Styela clava: one gene and its partner. The protein of the gene in region 1 binds, or shares a complex with, the protein of each later gene. Links are inferred from orthologs where the notes say so. Each region holds a gene or a part of one and is shown in the gene's direction. Other genes may lie near its edges.

Region 1 (12,301 bases):
AATTCCAGTCTGAACCGATTCGAATAATTTACTATTCGATTCGAATGGAAATGCCCAGCCCGGGTAAAATTTATGTCCATATCCCACCACAGCCACTAGTCGTAAATGAATTTGATTCCGGGTAGCATATCTTTTTTACCAATGACAATAAAAAGACATTTTGATACAGTTGTACAAGCACCATTAGGATAGGATTTATCTGGGGGGGGGGGGGGGGGAGCCAGTTATTTGTTTTCAGAAGCATGGACTTGGATGGTGGGGAATGGTCGTAACCGATCAGCGGCCATGTGAACCACCCTCGGTGGGAGTGGAGCTGCAATCCTCTGGCACATAGCTATCCCCGCATGGGATTGAAACCTGTGAAACTACCAGGGTGATCAGAGATGCGGTGGCGAGCGTATTCCTAGATGGCGAATTAAATTGAATTCTGGTTATTTTTTGCATGACCAGTGGTGTTAAACTTTAGTTATCTATTCAACCTTTCACACCTAGTAATAGATTACCTGCTAATCAGGAAACAATACCTTCTGTCAGACCTTACAGCAGTACAGCAATTGATTATTAATTCCTTACTGTCTTACACAAGTCAAGTCTGCAACTGCAAGTAGGCCCACGCCTAGGCCTACTGATAACAGTAGTTTGTCATCTGCTTTCCATTGAAATGAGGGAGCTTGTGAATATTTAAAGAAATTGATAACGGCACACTATCACCACATTATCACTCACCATCAACGAAGTGCTGTCCGCAAACAGTGAAACACAAGTAAGATGGCTTCTGGACTTGACACCAAGCAGTTCTGCCAATAGGCAATAGATGATATCCACATTGCGCGACGTTCAGGATTTTTTGAAATCAGTGGAATATTACTGAAGATCCATTTCGTCCATGTCTATACTATACGTACAGCCAACAGAACAACGAAATAACCATTTTCAACAACCAAACAAAACGCAAACGTATAATCCGACTTGCAACTGACAGGAGCCAAATGGACGTTTTTGTTTTATTGCCGTCCAGTAACAATGTCACGTGACCCGTGCAAGTCCTCTATATTAGTTGGTTTATATACCAAATTCAGTAAAACATTTTTTACATAAAACATGAGATATTGGATTTATTAGCTTTTCCATTCTAAATCATATAGACATTATTTATTTATTCCTAACGAAAATTAATAAATCTTCTCTCTTTCTTCAGATGTGAAAGTTGTGGACAAACCTGGGTAAGCATTGTGAGACTCCTGCAGCACAAGAGGCAATAGCAAAAATAGTTAGAGTACTCCATAAATGTTTGCAATAGAAGAACAACCAATGGAGGCATGCAAAGACATTTGATGTCAAACTCGCGGCCCCATAGACCTTCCAGTGCGGCCCTCGAACGATTAACAATAATTGTAATAGTATTTTGGAAGTTTTTTTTTATCTAAATGTAATAGATTTTTCAAACCTTTTAAAGTGAAATTGATTATTCACACAGAAAACAAATTACTGAAATTAGTTTTGAAAAATTATTTTTTTTGTTCACATTTTGACCCAATTAGGAATACACATCAGGCTAGCAAAAGAATACTTGAATAAAACACTTGAGTGATTAAATTAAACGCAAAGTACAAGAAGAAGGTGGCATTTTCGAAAAAATTGGGAGTTGCAATATTTCTGAATTTCGCAAAATTCTGGAGATATTGTTTATTTTGTCATATTTCCATCAGTACAATGAAAAAACACAATAAGCTCAGCAGTCAATATGACAAATTCGAAGAGCAACTTCGAACAGAAAATTTCCATGTGTTGGTATATTAATATAATTATACAACGACTTAGTTACTAAAAATCAATATCAATAATAATTCAAGCAACCCTATGTGGCGCGAAATGTCTTGTCGAAAAAATCTGTCATTTGTTTTTTTACTGATCTATACATGAAATGATAAAAGTAACTTTTTTGCATTACTGGAATTAATTAAACATCCGCAAAGATCCAGATTAACCCATGATCATGTGACCTCGTTTGTTAGAGTTGATACTATAAAATCATTTCAGCCTGGCGCTAGTATGCTGGTGACAAAAAAAGATGCCAAACGTCAGGACAAATGTAATTAAAAAAAAGATTGAGTTTATACTGTAGTATTTTTGTTAATTTTAGGTCCATATATTTACATTTAGTCATTTTTAGTGTATGTATTATTCTTTCCAAAGCTTGTTCAAAAATGATTTTGATGGTTGTACATAGAATTTTATGATTTTTTGTAATAAATACAGTAACTTGCAATAATAGTGGAATGCAAATATTAATATGTAATTGCATTTGAAATTGAAGAAAATAATAAAACTTAATCCAACTGTTTAGTTGCATCACAATTTATGTCGTAAACTAAAACTATCTTAAAAATATCTTTCAAGTATACATTATCAAAAACTGTTTGCGGCCCTTTCTACAATTTCCAAAATGCAATACGGCTCTCGAAAACCCATGAGTTTGACACCACTGATCCATCTAGAGTAGATTCTAGACGATTCAAGCATTGCTTTGGGAAATAAAGCAATGAAGGCAAAATTGAGAGTTCATGAGCTATGAATTTTTGTTCTTTTCTTTGTCTTGAACCTTCTCATACTCCACAGCCCCTAATAATTTTTTTTAATTTTAATTACCATGTGATGGTCATACATATCTTTAACTTGTATTTTCTGTCATGATGTATTATCTCAATGTGTCAAACTTTTAATTAGTGTGCATATTTTGCTGCCAGATGCAAAAAATGTATTGTCTTGTTTATTACCTCAGCTTGGAGTATTGACAAGAAAAGGGTGCCAGTGAATTACGTAAAAAAAATTTTAACTCTTTGTTATAATCAGAATTCACAATTAATAGGAGTTATAAACAGCTAACAATCAATGAGAATTAGATGCGAAATCCCTCAGAATAAATTTGTCTTCTAAAATCGGAGGAAAGAAAAACATATGGGTAGTTTCCATTCACACAAGTCTTTCATGAAGACTTGCTGGAGCCAAACTAAATGAGCATCGTCAGCTGATCGGTAAGGCTGCAAGTTAAGTTTCAGTCTTGCAACCTCCTGCACAGAAGATAATATTAATTAGTGGGCTATGAGCTAAATTTCTAAATTTAGACACAAACCTATCTACGAGGCATTATATACCAGCAATGTTACCTACGATTAACTGAATATGTAATATGTCTAATAAATTCACCTACTAAAGCAAGTTCGATAGGTGCAAACTTTGTTTTATGGAATTGTATCACAGCACCGTTAGGAGAAGTAAAAACAGTTTTGCTGTTTTGTATGACACCCTCTTTAAATGAAATTTCAATGTTTAAGCGCAAACATTAAAATTACTAACTTTGTCATTATCTGCAAAATGTTCCACTCAAATCTTTACGCTATCGCGTTTGTAATCTTCTCTGATAATAAAAACGTCTATGATGTCCAGAATTACTCTCTACAGCTTGTCTGCCATTCCAGCTTACCAAGTGAGCAAAACTTCTTAGATATAGTGATTATATTTTTCGTTACAGGCGCAAAAAGGCAGGTACTACACCCAAAGAAGACGCCGAGTAGCAAAAGCGAGCGAAAAACGGTCGCGAAAGGCGACGAGAAATACGTGCATTGGAGCGTATCATGAAATATAATCTTTCGCCTGCAGTCTTATGGAGTGACGTCAGAGTTGCCTATCATGTTGTTACTTATCGATCTTAAGATCGGTAAGTATATTGATAGGTATTTGTCTGTATGTCTGTCTGTGTGTCTGTGTGTGTGTCTGTTAGATGCACGCGATATCTCACGAAAGCGAGATTGAATCTGCTCCAGATTTTGCATGTGCATTCAACTTATCTCGGACCAGAAGCCTATTGATTTTGGGCGAATTATGTCGTATAATTAGCGAGTTATCAATCAATTATTGATATAGTGATCTAGATTTTTGTAAAGCGAGAGAATTTTGAAACCCGCCGAGTGTGTGTGTGCGATGCGCAGTGCGCAAGTTACAAGAGCGGATGAATCGAAACTGCAGTTTCTGTTTTGGGGGATCCCCTAACTATCGATCGATAAGTCTTCGGTTTCCAAAACCGATATTCTCGTTTAATGTCATTGGTGGGACTGAGATGTGAAATAGTTTTGAGGATAGAATATTTTTTACATCTTTTTTTAAATTTTTATCATGATAAACATGATAATCGTTCATTAAAATTTTAATGGCATTTTCGTTAACCGTCGGCCTAGCTTTTTGACTGTTAAGTTCATTATCAAGTTTGCAGCAATTGTTTTGGTTTTTGGTTTCAACTCTTCTTCCCCATCTCTGCCTGGTTTTACTTGAAAATTCTGAAAAAATTACTCATGTTTGCTAAACTCGATTCAGCAGATAAATAAACTACAGCTCGCAAAGTTGCACCGAGTACTTCTATCTCCATTGGACGTAACATTAGAGGCAAACACTACGTAATGGAAAGTAAACGACATAGAAAGGTAAAATGAATTTGTTGATTCATACACACAGCATTCAAATTAAGAAACAGTAAAACACTTATAATAAATGATGTATGTAAAATATTCAATCATATTTTAGGTATGTTTAACACAATTCTGTTAGTTTTCGCGGCGCAAATCGCCACGACGAACTCATTAGGAACCGCTACATTACACCGTTTTTTTTTTATTTATCAATTTTACTTTTTTATTTTTTGGGGTTCCACTATTTTTTCCCATTCAGTAAAAAATAACATACGAAATTAACAAAATACAAAACTGGACACACAATTTTACTGGGGAAGGGAAGTCGCTGGGAACCAGGAATGGCGATCGAGCAGCGACACCCGAAGTTCAATATCTAACTTAGTTTGTAAGGATCACGTTTTTAGAACACTTTTTATATGAATGAGCATGGCTCTGGCAGCTGAACTACATATAACATCCAAAAGACATGAACGTTATATGAGACGACCATATTTTGTACATGGCAAAATCTCTAATCGAACCCACCAGATAACTTAAAAGTGTAAGTGTCTGTGGACGAAAAAGTTTGGGAAACGCTGCTCTAAAAAATGAGAGTATACTATTCTGCAAAATCGGGTTATTTGATCTATGCGAAGTCATGAAAACAAGCTAAAATGTTTACCATCGTGTCTTCAGTTGTTACGCCAAAATATAGGTTTCACTCCAAAATATGTGTTCAATGTTCATCATTGCGATATTGCGTACTAGTTTCCAAGTCCTGCAAAAATGGTGAATGTGTCATCAATTTAATTTTATTGTTTCAGATTAACATCTTGCCGAATACCCAATGCTAAGGAAGTAAACAAGTGAGTCGATGCTCTGGGAAGCAGCTGCGGTCCTAATTCAATACTAGCATGCTAGTCAGTTTATTTCATGGATGCGGAGGTGTGGCTAATCGTTAGGAATACGCTCGTCACCGCACCTCTGATTTCTCTGCTTGGATTCGTGGGTCCGAATCCCATGCGGGGATAGGTATGTGCGAGAAGATTGCTTGACTCCACGCCGCCGTAGGGTGGTTTACAATTTATATAACCGCTGGTCGGTTACGGCTTACTCTACCAATAAGTAACTAACTAATCCCATACCCGACATGAGGTTTCAACGTTCAACTTACAAAAGAGTCAGTTTCAAAGATTGAAAAGTGGCAATGCCCTTCATTTTCGTTTATGTACAACTGCATATATTTAAAATGTGTAGATTCATCTATATGTATATATTCTCATTGATATGCTCAATCCTCTAAATGAAAATTTATTGTGTTTATGTTTACAAAATCAAAAAGTGATTATTGATTTGATTTGACCGAAAGAGTAGGCTACATAATATATAACAGTGTTTCAGATTCTGATTCAATATTCATATCTGAAAACATGGTTTGAAAGATGTCGTGGCTGGCAGAGGCGTAGCCAGAATATTTTGCGCCCGGGGCAAACTATAAAAGTGGCGCCCCGACCTCCACGTTTAATCATATTTTCTATTACATTTATTTTGTATATGTAAAAACAATTTAAAGAAGAAGCAAAGCTATACAAAATATAGCATATTTATGTCCATAATGTCCCACTCAGTCAAAGATGATTTACATGATCTACAATAAATTTATTTTTCTCGATTTCACTGTCGCAGACTTGTTAATCACGTTATCAAAATCTTTTTTTTTTTCAATGTTTCTCTTTCAACACCTAAGTGAAAAATCACTGAGACGACCTTGTCCCATTGATGCACGCGAATACGACAAAATAAGTTTCAATTTGCTGAAAGACCGTTCATAGCTTGCAATTGAAACTGGTAATGTTGACAAAATTTGTAGAGAAATTCGCAGATTTGGGACGTCGTCTCCAAAAGCCACAATAAAACCAAAGGAGAGTCAAAAGAGTTTCTGGTTGAATTTCAGTTCTGTCACTGAGCAGCTTTCTGCTATTTCCAATTTCGGTAAAAAGTTCTCGGCCATTGATGTCCGTGTCGTAGAAATTTGCAAAATCTGTGCAATCTCGACGAATTGTATCCTCATCTGTGTCAGATAGAAGAGTTTTAACGTCAAGCAGAAATCCAAATTTTGTATTTAGGTCTTTTAGTCGTGAAAAATTTGTTGACATCTCCCGTTGAAGCCGATCAAATACATTCTTCATAACGCGCACAATTTATTCTTCTGGTTGAAGTCCTGCATCTCTTTTCAGTTCTCCAGGCATTCTCTAATTACGTTGCCTAATTCGTCTACCCACCCGAACCCCCAGGCTGTGAATTTTGTTTTGACATTTTCTACAGCAGCTTGACCGTAAATATATACTACTACATACGGCTTGACTCAGATCATCACGAAGCTTACCTTTATTATTTGTCGAAAACGGCATTGGTCTCTTTTAGCACAATATAATATATTTTATGTAAGTCTGCTTTGACAACCACGAAATACAAAACCACGTATTACTCAAAACATGTATTACCAGCACTTCGCCGTTGCCTTTTGTCTCCATCACAGAACTAATACCCACATACATCGGAGTGCACAGAAAAGAACTAAACGATACAGAACCACGTTAATCAATTAACCCCGTGCATTTTGTTACCTAACATTTGCTTTGTTTCCCGGCCAGTTTTTTTGGCCATGTAATTATGATGGAAATCTGACTGTGCACGAGCCATGTGCCTGATGACGTCGGCATTCGACGTAAGTGGTCTGACCAAGCAATGAGCATATGTATATATGCTCATTGGACCAAGTGTGCAGTTGGCCATGTACTAAGACTAGATGTATGCCGCCGGTGCAATCTTGCTTGTGACCGTTTTTTTTTATCCTTGTTGTGAAATTTTTGCAAGTCCCATTTTGGCGCCCGGGGGCGTATGTACCCCATTGCCCCCCTAAGCTACGCCTCTGGTGGCGGGTGGTGCATTGTGCTATGAGTTGGGAATATACTTATCATCGCACCACATGATAACTCTGCGTGGATTCGCAGTTTTGAATTCCATAGTATAGGGGATAAGGGATGTGTGAGAGGATTGCTGGACTCCTCTAGCTGAATAAAAAATACCACACCCGGCATGGACTGATAACCGTTCGAGATCGACATATAATTAAGCGTGAATATAACATCATATCAGATTTTCCATCCAATGGACCTTTCCCTGAACTTTGACCCCGAAAAATTCTTCCTATACTTTACCATTGCAAAATTTTTGGGGCTATTTTAAGAGTGCTTTGGCAAGTTGGCGCCTGTTAAATGGGGTGTGTGTTTCAAATCATAATTATGATTCATCGCATACAACAATCTAATTTTTAATCTAAGTACCGGTAAAGGATTTTAGCCTAGTCTATCACAGCTATTTCTACACTATTTTTTATTACTGCAATTAAATTAAAACTCCTAGGAAGACAGAGTGATCATTGAGTTATCTGATTTAGATTTAAGTTTCCGAAACACAACTGAAAACTAACAAATAGAGTTCAAAAATGCAAAATCGAGGTAATGTTTACGACCACGTTTGAAAATCTGTCTGAGTGAGAAAAGTGTCTGAGCGGATGCGAAAAGGGAGCATTGTTACGTCACTTTTTGCATCTTGCTGATTGGCCAATGTTACGAAGTAAACAAGGAAGTCGATGCTTGGGGAAAGGTCCATAAATATGTAAAACCTAACTCTTATTTACCTCCGCTAGGGGGCGCAACATCAATAAGAGGTATTTTTGTGCTCGTCTGTTGTCCTCTCATATTCGAAAATAGGAAAACTCGATGTGTGAAATATTCGCTGCCTTGTTGCAAGAAAGGTACGGTCCAACCATTTTCTGGTAAGGTTAGGTGAGAAAACCAGTGCCCACACTGGTGTTTGTCAGGGTTAGGCATATAAGTAGGCCTATATTTTGATTATCCCGCATAGCTGGAGGACAGTCTGGCAGTACAGCAGTAAGACTAAGAGTAGGTAGGTGTACCGGTACAGGTATGAGGTATTGAGGTACGGTACCGGTACCGGTACAGGAGTAAGATGAAGTATCATTTTATTCCGGGGGAGAGAATAGACTGATAGACGGTTCATTGATAGGCCTATGGTGTGCCACAGAAGCCTCTTCTCCCACTCATGCATTATAGGCTAGACCAAGGCATTATAACAGTGAGTGCAATCTGCAAACCCCTCATTACGCGACAATCTGGCAATCTATATAGGCAAACCGGCACTACACAATAAACTAAAAGGAGGCGCGTTCTGAAAGCATCACACATGATTTTTCTGAAAAAAATAATCGGATTTACTCAAAAAAGAAATTGAACCTAGCATTTACGAGTAAGCAAAAAAACACAACTTTGCTAATGCGTAATGTGATGGCCTACGAATGTCGCGATCGATTTAGTCTAAATATTTATCAAGACAAGCATAGTGCCATCTGATGCATCTGTTGTCGTGCCAGATGCCCTCTTCGATAGACAAATGGAGTGTTTGTTTTATTGAACCGAATGTTGGGGCATCCTAAAACCTTGGCATTCTGCCCTACTGGCAGACTGGTATGGAATTAGTTGACCAGTTATCTGTTTTATATGCATGGCGGTTTGACTGTGGAAGAACAGAAGAGAAACCATAACTGACCAACTCTGAAAGTAGAAGTTGTAAACACTTTGAATTACTGTGATTGACTTGATTCTGTGATTGTACTATATTATACTATATTATTAACATAGACTTTTATTACAGGTCATAGACATAGATAAACAAGGAATTGTACTGTATTCCTGTATAGTCTATTATAGTTACAATATGTCTGATGAAGAAATAACTCTTTACTGCATCTGCAGAAGTCCTGATATTGACAGATTCATGATCATGTGTGATCAGTGCGAAGAATGGTATCATGGAGACTGTATTAATATGACGGAGCGTGAGTCAAGACGAATCAAGTACTTTTACTGCAAATGGTGTCGTCGTAAAAACCCTTCATTACAGATTCAATATAGAAAGTCGAAGAAATCTAAGAATCGAAGTGAAGATGGTAAAAAAGCAAAGAAATTGAAAAAGAAAGAAGCAAAAAGAAAAAGGCGTGAAGATGGTCAAAAAGAACAAGTCAAAAGTGAAAAAATAAAAAAGGTTATCGAGAATGATGATGATCAAAAATCTGACATTACAAAATCAAATTCACTGTCTACATCTTTACCTGTTAATGTCAAGAAAGAGTCTCCACAGGAAAATGTATCAATCAGTAATAAAGAACAAGCTGCTTTGTTGTCGGCAGATGAATGTGGCGAATGTGAAAATTGTTTACGTATTGTTAATTGTAAAAGATGTCAAAACTGCCTGAATCCAACCAGAGATATGAAGTGTCTAAAACGACAATGTCTTACTATGAAAACTAATTTGTCAACTTCTCATTTTGAAGTGAAAAAAGAACCACTTCCTAAAAAGAGTATCAAGACCGAATACGAAGAGGAGCCATCAAGATGGAAAAATTTTGATATATCTCATAGTATGTTTTCTCAGAAAAAGTTTAGCAAACCGGATACTAAGTTAGAAATTCATGGCCGACAATGTTATGGACCTGGATGCACTTTGGCTGCAAGATCAAAATCCAAGTACTGCTCAGATGAATGTGGTAAAAGGTTAGCTGCTAAGAGATTGCTACACATTATGCCATCTCGAGTGAATGACTGGCATCATACTCCAACAGTTGCAAATGAAATGGGTCGAGAAGAGTTGGAGAGAATTAGGGCTGCAATGGTTCAAGCAAGGAGCGAACTTCAGGCACTGGAGGAAAAATTTAGGAGATTAGAATCAATTATTACGCAATCCAAAACTTTTGAAATTTGTGAAAAATTGTCTGATGCAGAAGAAACTGATGAAAGTGATCAGACTATATTTTGTGTTGTTTGTGGCCACCCTGTTTCTCTTCGAGGTGCTATAAAACATATGGACAAATGTTATATTAAAATTGAATCTCAAATCTCTTTTGGGTCTGTGTATCCGACGCGTATTGAAGGCTCAGAGCGACTATTTTGTGATGTCTATAATCGACAGCAACAAACTTATTGTAAAAGATTACAGGTAATTTGTCCAGAACATGCAAAAGAACCAAAAATCACAGCCAATGAAGTATGTGGATGCCCATTGAAAGAGGATATATATACGGGTGATGAACCTAAACTGGCTAATGAGTTCTGCAGCAGAGCTAAGAGAAAATGTAACAAACATTTTAAATGGGAATCTATGTACAGAGCATCGGTTGATTTACAGCGAATTAGACAATGGCTAAAAATTGATGAAATATTTGAGGAAGAACGCAGAATTCGCAATTCTATGGTATCAAGAGCTGGTGTTGTACCTTTGTTATTGCACCAAACAACTGCCCATGATCCTGCATGTCTCGATATGCGAACAAAACCATCAAATGTTAAAAGACCTGCATATAGACTTGTCATTTAAGATTGTAATTCATTTGATAAATTCATAATTGAAGGCCCTGCTTTCAAGTTTAGGAAACAAATAGAAAAGCAATTGAAATATTTGAAAGTTTGATTATTTGAAAATGTTTGTTTGCGATCCACACCATGGAATGTTCATAGTCTCATATGAACATGTTATATCAACAGACATGTGTGTGACACATTTGGATGATGGGATGTTTCATTTTTAAATTGCGCAATAATTTACTTGAATAAACTTTAGTTAGTTTTGTATGCTTGGCTTGTTACAGTATTTTGATGAGTATGGCCTGTACATGCTATACAAAAGTTTTTTTTTCACAGAATAGTGTGTTTCATAATTGTGCCAATCAGATTGGATATTCATGTATAGTTGGCTATGCTAGATATTGATTGACTTGTGTTTTTGTCTTTGTAATATCCAACTTTTGTTGAAATTTGTTATTCTGTTTTCTTAGCTTGTCTTCTAACTTTCCCATTTTGTTTTTTAGTTACGGACAAAATGTCTGTTCCAAGTAGATCAGAATGTAATCACTGTCAAACGGAATTACCTCTTGTGCATATTCGCTGTTCAGAATGCTCAAACACATCAATATGCTTGTCATGTTTTTCGAAAGGAGTTGAATTCCGCAATCATTTGAAAACTCATTCATACAAGATTATTGATAAAGGATCATTTCAAGTTGTCGATCCTAATTGGACAGCCTTTGAAGAAAAACTACTTTTGGATGGAATTGAACAATTTGGCATTGGAAACTGGGAGGATGTAGCGGTTCACATTGGTGAAAGAACTTCAAAAGAAGTGGAGGAGCATTATTACGCTTCTTATATTGAAAGTGTCGATCTTGGGCGAGTGACTGTGCCAAATGATATCCCTAATAGGATGACAGATCATACACCACCATTGCATGAATCAATTCTGTCTATCCAGTTGCCTCGTTTGGATTTGGATAAAGAAGAAGAGCTAGAATTGGCTTATATGCCATTAAGAGATGATTATGAAATGGAACATGATAACGAGGCTGAAATACTAATCAGTGGCTTGGCAATAAATGGTGATGAGGATGAACTAGACCTTGATTTGAAAGTTGCGCAAGTAGGAATGTATCTTGACAAATTAAAAGAACGGCACAGAAGAAAAAGTGTAGCAAGGGAATACCATCTGGTGGAAAAATTTATCGGTAAACCATTACCTGGAGCCAAACAAGATCGAGATTATTTGAAACGTCTACGTTTATGCTTTCAATATATGCGAGAAGAACAAGCTCTTAATTTTGCAAGAGATGCAAGGAAAGAACAAATTTTGAAAACGAAGATTAAGCATTTGAAAATGTATCGTAAAAATGGAATAAAAAGGCTAGAGGATGGTGTGGTATTCGACGTCAAGCAGCGTAGACGTAA
Region 2 (12,645 bases), on another chromosome or scaffold:
TGAGACCCCACTTTTATGCTTTATGCATAATAACACAAAATTGCTCATACATTAATTATTATCTGCACACATTTTATGTCATAACAATGGAGTAAGTAGCAGGAGAGAAAGGGCATGTCAGTTGCATGTCGTATACTTGCCAAATGTGCCTGGCGTTGGTATAATTATCTGTTTAGTTAATTTTGATTTTCAAAATTTGACATGAAAATGTTTGGGTAACATAGAAAAGTCTGCCATATATTGTGCAGTTCTGATTGGCAACTTTATAATGAATATGTCTAGAAATCCACCTATACTCGTATACTCATCTGCATGACAATGCAAAATGTGTAATGTGAATGTTTGGAAGAACATATTGCAGTGAACAGCTTTTTTCCAAAATGAATTATACTGAGAATGAATTTCGTGTCCAAGTCGGTTTGGATAATTTTTTCCAACAAATCAAATCGCTTATTGCAGATTTGCCACTGATAATTGCCTTTTTTATTATACATGGTGTCTCAAAAGTAAGTATACACTTTTAATATTGATTTTCTTTTCAGGTACCCATCATAGAGCTTTCATTTATTCATGAAACAAAGTATGAATAAGAAGTAAAATTTAGGTATTGTTTGCATTTTTGATTGACCCACAGAATGACAAGGAGATTACCCAAGAAATAAGGTGCAAAATTGCTGTTTGGCAGGAAGCATATAAATCAGTATGGCAAACTCAGTGACTCTTTTTAACAGAGAATTCGGAATTAATTCGGCTCTGAATGTTTTCCTCAGAGTGCCCGCTCCTTGGTCTTCCTGATCTTTCTGCATCAACTACAGATCCAGTTTCTATGAATTTAAAATGAATTACATAAATTATTTGTTGTGTAGGAGCCGAATTAATTCCAAATTGCCAAGCAGCAATTTTGCACCTCATTTTTTGGGTTAATCTCCTTGTCATTCTGTGGGTGTTGAAAAATGCAAACAATACCCAAATTTTACTACTCATTCGTACTATGTTTTCTGAATAAATGATCGCTCTATCATGAGTATTTAAAAAGAAAATCAAAATTAATATAGTGTATACTTACTTTTGAGACACCCTGTATATACTGTGGAGGATGAGCTACATTGAGTAGTCTTTGTATGATAATTATATTGGCTTTGTTTTATAATATATCCTTATTTAACACCATTTACTACCATTCCAACCTAGCACCATTCTAACCTAGTCATATATTTTAGTTGCAACAACGATCACTTATGCCTTTCATGGCTCGAACAATCGCCATGAATCTTGCTCTTGATTATGTCAAAGAAGAATGGGCCAAGAGACCGACTGATAAAACCGGCCATCTCAATGTTGTGACTTTATGCTGTGCTCTCAAAGCAATCATCGGATGGCATGCTGTGGAAATGGCTGCTGTAGCAAGAGAGAGATGTGGTGGTCAGGTAAATCCTAGTAAAATAGACTGGAGAATGAATCTAATATGACGTTTAAGAGAATTTCAGCGGGATCAATAACGTCCACCAAAGTATTTTATCTGGCCCACTTGTACGTGCTGAAATTATGACACGGTTTTTAGGGATATAAATTTTCGTTAAAAATACCGATTGAAATAACGAATCGTCGGCTAAAATAAATACCATAATTCCTTATCATTATTCGCACCTGAATATATTGTGCATAAGGAGCGATCTCAAATTCACCCATCTCTGAATTATTATTTCGAAGTATGAAGATTAATAAAAGCAAAAACAGATCTCCTCTAGTGTTTTCAAACCTATGAGCGGTGTAACGAATCAGCACAAGCAGCTTCAAGCCTGATTTAAAAAAGCTGCTTGGACGCATGCAGCTGGATACAGAGGTCCTGTTAATCATTGTGCAACTTGGTGGTACAATAGATGTTTGTTGTACATAACTGTTACGCTAGTTTTTGTAAACCGTAAACTGTTTTTAATCATAGTTTAATATTGACCCTCCACCCCAGTAAGAAGGTCTGTTATCTGGAACCTACCCTGGAAAGTGATTCACCCCTGGGTTAAAGCATTAAAGCTCTGCTATGTTTTCATGGCAACTTAAAATTCTCTGATTCAAATCCCTTGTCCACCATGTAATAGATAATGATTGAATATAATACATTTACTTCTATTACAAATATTTTCCTTTCTCAGGGCTACCTCAGTGTTAACAGATTCGGTACATTTATTGGATCGAGTCATGCTTCCATAACTGCGGAAGGAGACAACAGCGTTCTCATGCAGGTTAATTTTTCTTGTTATATTTATGTGTAACCTAAACATAACAGATGTTGATTAATAGAGTAGAGACTTTGAAATGTCTGGCATATGAAGCATAGCCATAAGATGGTAAAATTGATGCGGGTTTTCGATTAATTGCGACTCAAATTTGCCTTTACCATTTAGAAAGTTGCCAAAGAGAGATTAAACCTTTTCAATCCTGAAAAACTTGAACCAGTTGAAGCAGGTAACAATATTTATAAAGATTATATATTTAAACAAGAAGTGCTGCTATCATTTTATTATGCTTTATTTAAAATAGGTTATCAATATTCCAAATTTATAAGCTGTCAAATTGCCTTTTGTAATTGCTTGAATTAATTTGTATATTTTAAAAAATTCATACTATTCCTTTGTTTCTATTTCAGATTTGAAGAGCCCGGCTTATCTTCATTATTTACTCCAACTAAGGGAGACTTCTCAGTTCTCTGAACTTGGAGTGAAATTAATGAAAGGAGGAATGGACAAAATCTTCGATACATGGATGTTACAAGAGAGCGATCTTGTGCAGGTACTAAGTTTGTTTACTGTATTTTTTAGACTGTAAAAGATAATTGAATGACTATTTTCCTATCCTCACCGTCGTAGGGTGGTTCATGTAGCCGCTGGTCGGTTGCGCCTTCCTCCAACATCAAGCTCATGCATCTGGAAACAAAATATCTGGCTAACTAATCCCATACGAGTGGTAACCGGACAAGAGGCGGTGGTTCGCCATATGATTAAGTTGCGCTCTGCTTTTGAATATTTTACTCAAATGATTACTTATTGAATCTGTTTTTCATCCAGAATGCTGCAAGATCTTATGGAGAAAGGTTGATTAGCGAAAGGGTGAAGTTTACAATTGATTCTCCAGATACTCATTCATCACTCAAAACCATCTTATCAAAATTATATCACTTATTTTTGATTGATACTATTCAACGTGATCTTGGATGGTTTGCGGCAAATGAGGTCATCACGCCTTCAATAGCAAAGCAGGTAAAGTATCTTATATCGTACTTTCAACCATCTTTTAAAAGTGGGCTATTTCAGATAAACAACTCTGACTACATTCGGACCTGCAAAATCTTTAAGGTTCGAGTAACAAATTAAAAAGATGACTTTTTTTTACTTATCATAACTATGCATGGAAACAATTGAATTGCGTAATTATACCATACCTGACATGGTGACAGCAGGCTTGGCGGTGTGGCGTGTCGTGCTAAACATTAGGAATATGCTTCACATTGCACCTCTGATCATCCTGCGGTGGTTTCTGGACTCCTCACCGCCATAGGGTGGTTCATATAACCTGTGATCGGTTACGGCTTCCTCCACCATCAAGTTCATGTATCTCAAACAAATAAATGGCTAACTAATCCCATACCAGACATGGTCTGGTAATAGGGAGTCCGTGCTTCAGCATATGATTAAGCAATTTTATCAGTTTTCATATCCTCTGAGATAATATGTATTTCCTATCCTATCACTCATGTGTTTGACATACTTAAAACATTAGGGATTGCAGAATTAAATGGTTATAATATACGGTAAAATTAACTTTCTATACTCAGGTAAATGAAGTTGCAGCTGAAGCATGTCGAGATCTTGCACCTGATGCTCTTCATCTCTGTTCATCATTCAAATTAAGTGATGAAATGCTTTCTGCCCCAATCGCACAAGACTGGGTGGAATACAATGTGGGTGACAATCAGGGGGAATTGTCGAAGCTGTAATAAAGTTTCCCAAATTTATTGTATGGAGACCAACACATTTAATTTATATATCAAGTTGGATATCGATAACTGTATTATCTCATAGACCCAAGAGTTTCATATCAAGACCAGGATTAACCTCAGCTGATATACTGTAATTACTGTTACATCGAATAATTTATTTTCATTTTGCATTCTCAAAAGATTAAAATGTGGCGTGTTAGTGGAGATAATCCATACCTATTTACTTTCAGTACCCAACCTTAGTTCCCGCCTCTATGGGTTATATATTTCCGATATTTTTCGAGTGTGAATATGGTATAGTTTTCTATTTGGAATTCAGTGAAAATGCAATAGATCTAGTCAAGAGTTTCACCGTTTAATATTTGTTTATATTGTTTGATTGATTTAAATATATTAATTTTGCCTAATAGTGTGAGATGCTCACAAGTTGATGTTGGTGCCTCAGCTAGTAAAAGGTTGTGAGATTGAAAGGAAATAAAGCTGCAGCTTCGCACAGCTTTTTCACTCGGAAATATTGGTCGTCGCAATTGTTTTAATGGTAAACGCCTGATTGTATCGCTAAAAGATGGGAATTGACAAGAATAGTATTTTCTTGTGATAATCTTCTGCTGGGACCATTCCTGTCAAAATATGAATTGCAGTAATTTGATGGATCTTGATTTTTTCAATAAGAATATTTAATATCATCTATGTTAGATCTAAATGAAGAAGGTATAGCGGGGGGCTGTAATTGCACAGAAAATCTTCGGCGAAATATCGGTGCACCTCTAAATAAACTGGATTGAGCACCGCCATAAATTTACAATGCATAATAATGTATGCGGATGGGAAAACCCTACATTCCTTCGCATTTGTGGTGTGGTTGTCATGGAATAAAACGAACAAGATTATGCATATGTCTTGTTGCGGCAAATCGTTCGAACAACAGGGCATCGTCTATAATGGCACCAGTACCGTATATGCGGCATCGATACGTTTGGCCAATGAGCATATGTATATGTATATATGCTCATAGGTTTGGCAAATCACCAATCATGTTGCACGCGTGTCAATCATCTGAAAAAGACACGTCATATTTTTATTTAAATTTCTGGATATACAAGTAAATTTTGCTATAGAACACTAATATCAGAACTCTGGCTTCACGATGAACAAATGATGTATTTCCCCCGCACTCATTGAAATATCACGAGTGCGTATAGTTATTCATGAACGCACGCAAAGTAAAAAAATAACTCATAAATTGGTAAATCCTGTTACGGATTAATGAAACAGTTGAATTTAGTCAAATATCAATCTTTGAATTATTTTAGAATGCAAACACTGTGTGTAGGCGTACAAACAGCATCACGCCACTTATCATGAATTCAAAATGCATAATATGCTAATAAGTATCACGTGCGTGTCGCGTCTCGCAGGCGTTTGCGTCGGCATGGCTGGCATGCATTATGGTTTTGCTTCCTGGTGAAGATATTTTAGGATAATGTATTTTAATGTAGAGTACAGTAGTGTTTGGTAAACTTTTATGTTCAATACTCCGTGAGCGAGTTAGTTATAGTGTGTCATGTTTTGAACTCGAATTATTCATAAGGCTGTGAGGGTCGCAAAGGAACCAAAAATACCCCAGCCCACACTCGAGACGCTATCCCACACTCGTTTTTGACAGGCCATACTAGGGGTAACTGGGCCGGGCTTGGTATTGCATTTGCGTTGTGTATATCACATATGGTCTCTATATTGTCATAGCCACCAAGTTTTTTTGTATTAACGTTTATAAAGTGGTAAAATAGTTGGTTAACCCCTTGACGTCAGGCTGAGCGAGTGTGGGCTGGGGTAACTTTGGTGCAAAGGATGTTCAATTACAGCGGTAGCGAATGTAGGAATGAGAAATCTTGTGGCAGTTTCAACATAATATTCATATATTACATAAGTTTTCTGGTGAACCGATATAAAGTATATTTTCATGCCATCGTTGCTGTAGCCTGTAGCCCACACTTCCATTTTTGGTTGAGTCAGGCTGGATCAGTCAGGTGAGTTGAGTCACTCTGACACTGTACCTCATGCAGTCATGACATGCTGAAATGACGTTGATTGTGTGCATTGACTTTGGTGGTAAATACTAGATGAGTGAACACCGACCACTTTTAGGCAACAGATTGTTTATTTGAATTATGTAGCCTACCTTTTAAACCTCGCTCAAGGTTTTGTTTGCTCTACTGATTTTGTAATCAGTTTTTTTTTTTGCATGTTTTTATTAATTTAAGGTCTGTGATGCTGGTTATGGCAGTATGGAGTCTCAATAAAATTATACTTACAATGTTATTAGCCTCTCAACTACCGTACATAAATTAGTAATGCCGGAAATCCCACCATAAATATATATGTATGATTAACATTTGACTCTCTAACAGTAGGGCGCAGTTCTCTGATGTCCCAACATTTGGTTCAAATACACAAACTCACATATCAATGATCACCAATCAAATTTAGCACAATCTTGAAGTAAAAGAAAAAAATCAGTCTTCATAGAATATTTTAAGATTGACATGAATTGTATTGAACAACTCAATAGCTCAATGCTATCATTAAATAGTTTTAACAAATGCTCTTATAAACTATAATATTCTTAGATATGTTAAAAATGTGTTTTTTTTGCTCCTCCTCAAAACCTCAATTTGGATGATTTATTTAAAAAAAACTCATAGGGTCTCCCTAAAACCAGGCAATTTATAGGCAACGTTTCAAGTAATTTGATTATCTATTAATTTTACTATTTCATATCGATTTGAGTTCCATTTCATTTGCATTTTCATATTGCTGTATTGCAAGGAACAATAATATAAGTCGATCATTTTATCCAATACATTTAGAAATATTTTACTCTCAGTGGTAAAATACGGCATCCTTAGTATAAACTGATAAAATCTTGAAATTTCAGACATTTAAAAAAAAATATTCTGATTTTTTAGTCATAGAGAGTTGCCATATTTTTTCATAAATAATTTTTCCTAACACAAAGAGATATAGGCCTACAGTTTGTAAATTTATTGTTCATCTTCAGTTGTTTTTTTGCTTATTTAATATAATTGGGTGGCAACTGACTCTGATGACCCCCAAAGGTCAGATTGTTGCCCTCCAGTCATATACCGAAAACTATTTTTTTGGTATTTGTTTATGTGTGCATAAATTGTTTTCTTGGTTTGACAAAATGAAATAAACTCTCTCTCTCTTTTGAATCCACCCGAAATTGGCATATTGTCTGGTAAAATGTGGCAACTCTCAGCACAAAATCAACTTTGTATAGCAGAATATTTGTCTATATTATTTTGCATATTCTCTGCTTCTGAAAATTAGTAGGATAGTGATCAAAGTGCAATGTTGGTTATATGGTCAATTCTAATTACTTAGAGATTTATATCCTAAACTTATTGGTATTAGACTCCACTCTAGCTGTTCATTGCCAGTTTAATCATAAAATCACTAATCAAATATCAGTGATTAATATTTTCTCTGTTGCATTTTAAACAATTATGATAAAATTTGACCCTCATTCCCTTGTTACCCTGAGTTGTAATTACCCCTTAGCAATGCAGTAAATAAAATGTAAACACACCTTGTGACATGCAGTAAACTAGAGTGTGAACGAACACATAACATTTGTCATTCTCCCAGGGACTCAGGGTAACGAACGAAATAATGTTTTCTAAAATATGACCGTGAAATTTACCTCCTTTTATATAACTAGTATAGGCATTATAAAGAAGTTCATGCCATCTTAATTCATATGGTGTGATCTTGTAAAATTAGACTTGTAATTAGACACTTAAACTTGTAAATTTTCATTGTTTACATCAGCCATGCCATCTGGTTAGTTATTCTGTATTCCTATACCCCATTTAGTTCATGTTATGATGGAACTATTGTATCATTTTATTTTTAGTTGATAACTTTCAGTTGGAATATAAAAATATTATAATGAAGCTACTGGATTCTGTAGTAAAAAGTTTTCGAGTTGCCAAAGTTTTTCGTGAAAATAATGAAAAAATAAACAGCGTCGATTTTGCACCAAATGGTGAAAATTTGATATCAGCTAGCGATGACGATTCGATTGTAATTTATGATTGCTGTACAGAAGGAAAACCAAAGAGAACATTGTACAGTAAAAAATATGGTGTCGATCACATAAACTACACTCACGCTGGAAACACTGTAATTTATGCTTCAAACAAAGTTGATGACGCAATTCGATATCAATCATTACATGATAATAAGTATCTTCGTTATTTCACTGGACACACAAAAAGAGTAGTGACCTTAAGTATGTCCCCTGTGGATGACACATTCTTATCTGGATCATTGGACAAGACAATACGTTTATGGGACTTGAGATCTCCAAATTGCCAGGGTTTAATGCATCTCCCTGGCCGACCATGCGCTTCTTTCGATCCAGAGGGTTTGATTTTTGCAGCTGGAATAAATTCTGAAATGATTAAATTATATGATTTGAGATCATTTGATAAAGGTCCATTTACAACGTTTCGACTGACTCCTGATAAAGACTGTGACTGGACAAGATTAAAATTCAGCTCCGATGGAAAAATGATCCTAATTTCAACCAATGGTTCAACATTACGATTGATTGATGCTTTTCATGGCGAGCCACTCCAAACTTTTATGGGTCATATTAACACTAAAGGTTTATATTTAGAGGCCAGTTTCAGCCCAGATGCACAGTATATTCTATCTGGATCACAAGATGGTCGAATCCATGTTTGGAGTACTGAAGACGGAAGCAAGACGGCTGTTTTAGATGGAAAACATCCAGGCCCACTTCAGTGCGTACAATTTAATCCGAGATATATGATGATTGCGTCAACATGCTCTAACATGGCATTTTGGTTGCCTACTGTAGAAGAATAAAGATGATTCATTGACATAAAGGCATTGATAAGCCTTTTGTACTCCATACTGCCAAATGCGGATGAAAGCCGTAACGCCATGAGCACTTAGTTTGTTATTGTTGATAAAAACATTTTGAGTAAAGACAAAAAAACTTTTAGCTCCACGTTGGGTTCAGTACTTTAATTATTGGGTTTGACACTTTTATTGCTGTCGACTGTCACTGTTCATTTTTACTGAAAGCTGTCATGATTATTTAGATTTCATTTTTAGGTCAGCTTCCTATAAGCTTAGTGAAATCGAGACACTTTCACCTCAATGACTAAAGAACTCTGTTCCCACAGTTTTCCGTCTATGACTTGTTTTACAGTAAATTACGGCTGGAGTAGCTGAGTGAGTGACTGCTTTTATATGAGAGAGTCCTCAAAATATTAGTCTAGGCTGGAATGTCTCAGTTTATTGTTCAATTTGCTAGTATAATAACAGTTGAAAGATAGTTCATACTTTTTTGCTAAAATGTGAATCATATCACTTTACACTAACAAGTTTTGGCCTTAGTGAAACTAGGGAAAAAATGTCTCTCCCCCACTTCCAAGTATGATATTAGCCCAACCACCCCCCACTAGTCAAGTACGTAACAGGCTGAAATTCAAGGATAGCTAAAGTTATATAAATTATTCTGAAACAATATTTTGGATATAAATTTCGAATGTGTCTAAATTGTGTCTTGTTCATCGACGACTTCACTCAAATTTGTTAATACAGGATAGTTGGAATAAACATTACTGGGATTTATTCTTAATAAAAGTTAACTGAAGTCTATTTTTGTCTGACTATTGGATGTCAAATGTTTTAAATGATAGATGAAAATAATCCCCAAATCAATACTTAACTAATTTAAATGTATCCAATTTTAAATGTTTTTGATTCATCTTGGAAATCCCTGGACCTGATAAACTTATCCTAACTAGAGGATGCCCATGTTTATCCTTCTTTTAATATGGTTTGTGCAAGAAATGCTACAAGAACTACATGCTCTCTTTTGGATTATGCTAAAAATGTTTCATGATTTATTGGTGAACTGCTACAACTGAATATGCATGCTTTTATTCTGGAATTAAAATTGACTGGATTTTGAGCTCTTGGAAGTGTTTTACCTGTAATTCAGATTTGAACTTGCATTTTTTGTTGTGGACAGGCTTTATGCTTATGACCTTGGTGTTGATTGGAAAATCTTTTTTGCATATGAAGTCTTTCGTGCAAGTGATTTTTGTAGGGTGTAAAATTGTAAGTTGTGTTGCTGCAATTTCTTTTTACAATAAATTTTTTGCAGAATAATGACATAATATAAAGTATTTGATTAAAAGTGTGAGGGCCGAGGAGTGGCAAAATGAATTTAAGCAAGTTGGATTTATTCTACCGAAGGCTCATCTTAACAAAATTCTATACCAGAGGATGGGGTAAACCAGAAGAACTGCAGGAAATATTGAAGGTCCATGGTGTGATTTCCAACAGGGATTCATGTTTGGATTATGTTAATGATCACATATCTGAATCTAATGTGACCTTGGAAAATCCAGTCTCAAGCAATGGGTGCGTGACTGTCGATGGTAGTTTCGTTTCTCCAGTCTGTAAACTTTTACCCAAACTGCTACCAGAAGAGTGTAAGACGTCACACTTCCAAATGGTGTTACCTGCAACTCCAAGGAAATCCAAACCAGATAGTATTACTTCTTTGAAAAGAAGAATAAAACAACTTGACTTAAATCCGCTGTGCATTCATATGGCTGGAACGGGCGACCATGGGTTTTCTAGAAGACGAGAACTCATCGCTAAGCCGTTATTGTCGCATGGAATTTCTTCTTTATTGTTGGAAAATCCGTACTATGGTTTACGAAAACCAAAAGATCAATCTCGTTCCGGTTTGCTACATGTCAAAGACCTATTTTTAATGGGTCTATGCCTTATTTTAGAAACTCAAGTTCTGCTAAAATGGCTTGAAAAAGAAGGTTTTGGGCCGTTCGGTCTTACTGGTATATCAATGGGTGGACATATGGCTTCATTAGCAGCCACAACTTCACCTAAACCAGTCGCTGTTGTACCTTGCATGTCTTGGACTTCTTCTTCTGTAGTTTGGACAGAAGGGGTTCTTAGTAACGCCATACCATGGAGGGTGTTGGAATCTCAATATGCAAAAGATCCAAATTATGAGACCCAAATCAATGACCTGATTAAATATAACACTGTGGATTCCTATGAACTAGGTAAAGACTATGTGAAAGATAAAGGTGCTCTGAAACCGACATATGTAATGAAAAATGTTGCTGGGGATCAGGTATCGGAGAAGGATGACAGAGAGAGAAGGCGGAAACAGACCCTTAGATTTATGAAAGGTGTTATGGATCAAGTGACAGATCTCCAAAATTTTTCAGTTCCAATTGACCCATCAATGGCAACATTCGTAATCGCGAAAGCTGATGCGTATTATCCGATACATAGTTTACGACCAATGAATGAGGTCTGGCCTGGTTGTGAGGTAACATTCAATAATTTTTTTATGATTAAATTCCCAACTGAATCAAATATTTGAATGGATCAAAAATGGTCATATTGGATACTCCTCAATTTGGATTATTTCTGCTTGTAATGTTATGTACTGATTAAAATGTGATAGGCAGATTCAAAATAGCTTCATCAAACTCTTGTTTCTGGAATTTCATGTGTTTTTAGAATTAATTTTTTGAACATATGTACCCTTTTTCTCAGTCATTCTGTCCTGTCAGTGTGTCGAAGCTGTAGCTTCTTAACAGCTTGACTGATCTGTATCAAATTTCCAACGCGAGTAATGCTGTCACCCTAGTAATGTGCGTTTCACCGAAAGCCGAGATTGATATTTTGTTTCCATGGCAGCAGTGAAAAATGTGCCGATGGTTAAAAATATTCCGATTATTTTCATAAATTTTCGCCTTTTTCCTCAACCAATTTGAATATTAAAATTTCGCGAATGCTACCCTCTGCGGAAATAAATACTTTTTCGAACAATCCAAAGAACAAGTCTTTCATCTCTGTAGTCCATAAACTGATAAAGCTTTAGGAGTTTCACTGAACATGCTTTAATTATTAGCCACAGCATAACTTTCGCTGATTGAAACTGATGAGACGCACAGTGCTCACAATGACCTGGCAGTTTTGGTACAATGGCGTCTTCCTATTACCAGTTGGTAAACCTGAAATGACTTGGCTTCATAGCTCAAGCAATGGCGGAGATCCATACTGGGCGCCTACCAGCTTGTTTATATTATGACCCAATTGATAATTCAGAGTATACTTTAATATTCTGAATATCAAATTGTTTGAATTTTGCCATTAATGATTAAAAAGGAATCATTTCATTCTTTTTTTTTTCAAATTATTTTAGCAATATGAATTCAAAATCTATTTTGTGAAGTTGCAAGTCATTGAAGCTGTCTGACTGTTAATATTTCTTATTGCAGGTGAGGCTACTCAACACAGGACATATAGGTGGATTTTTGATGCATCAAACCGATTTCTGTAATGCTATTGTTGACACTTTCTCAAAACTTATAGAGAAGTATCACTCATCGAAAGAGAGCAACAGTTGCGGTAATGAAACCATGAATTTGAATGAGTCGGAAGAAAGTGAAACTACTTCCAGCCCTATCGCTATTCGTGAATTGGATAACAATTCAAGCATCTCAAAAAGTAAAACTACTCTTTTAATAGGTTTATTT

What was found.
Region 2: CXXC-type zinc finger protein 1-like (region 1) and WD repeat-containing protein 82-like share a complex: the UniProt entries of both Drosophila melanogaster proteins name them as parts of the SET1 complex. The link is inferred for Styela clava from reciprocal best matches to the Drosophila melanogaster genes Cfp1 and Wdr82.

The regions. Positions count from the first base shown.
Region 1 is NC_135256.1:21,996,911-22,009,211, reverse strand, and holds CXXC-type zinc finger protein 1-like, read left to right. Parts: upstream 1-9,173; 5' UTR 9,174-9,245; coding exon 9,246-10,901; 3' UTR 10,902-11,391; downstream 11,392-12,301. Other genes in the region: transcriptional adapter 2-beta-like, read left to right, coding at 11,403-12,301. UniProt on the Drosophila melanogaster protein: Component of the SET1 complex that specifically di- and trimethylates 'Lys-4' of histone H3. Essential for Set1 association with chromatin and trimethylation of histone H3 at 'Lys-4' at transcription puffs.
Region 2 is NC_135254.1:14,480,618-14,493,262, reverse strand, and holds WD repeat-containing protein 82-like, read left to right. Parts: upstream 1-7,910; 5' UTR 7,911-7,969; coding exon 7,970-8,914; 3' UTR 8,915-10,231; downstream 10,232-12,645. Other genes in the region: uncharacterized protein LOC120344988, read left to right, coding at 1,221-1,427, 2,151-2,240, 2,403-2,463, 2,645-2,787, 3,063-3,254, 3,830-3,991; protein ABHD18-like, read left to right, coding at 10,284-11,429, 12,388-12,645. UniProt on the Drosophila melanogaster protein: Component of the SET1 complex that specifically di- and trimethylates 'Lys-4' of histone H3.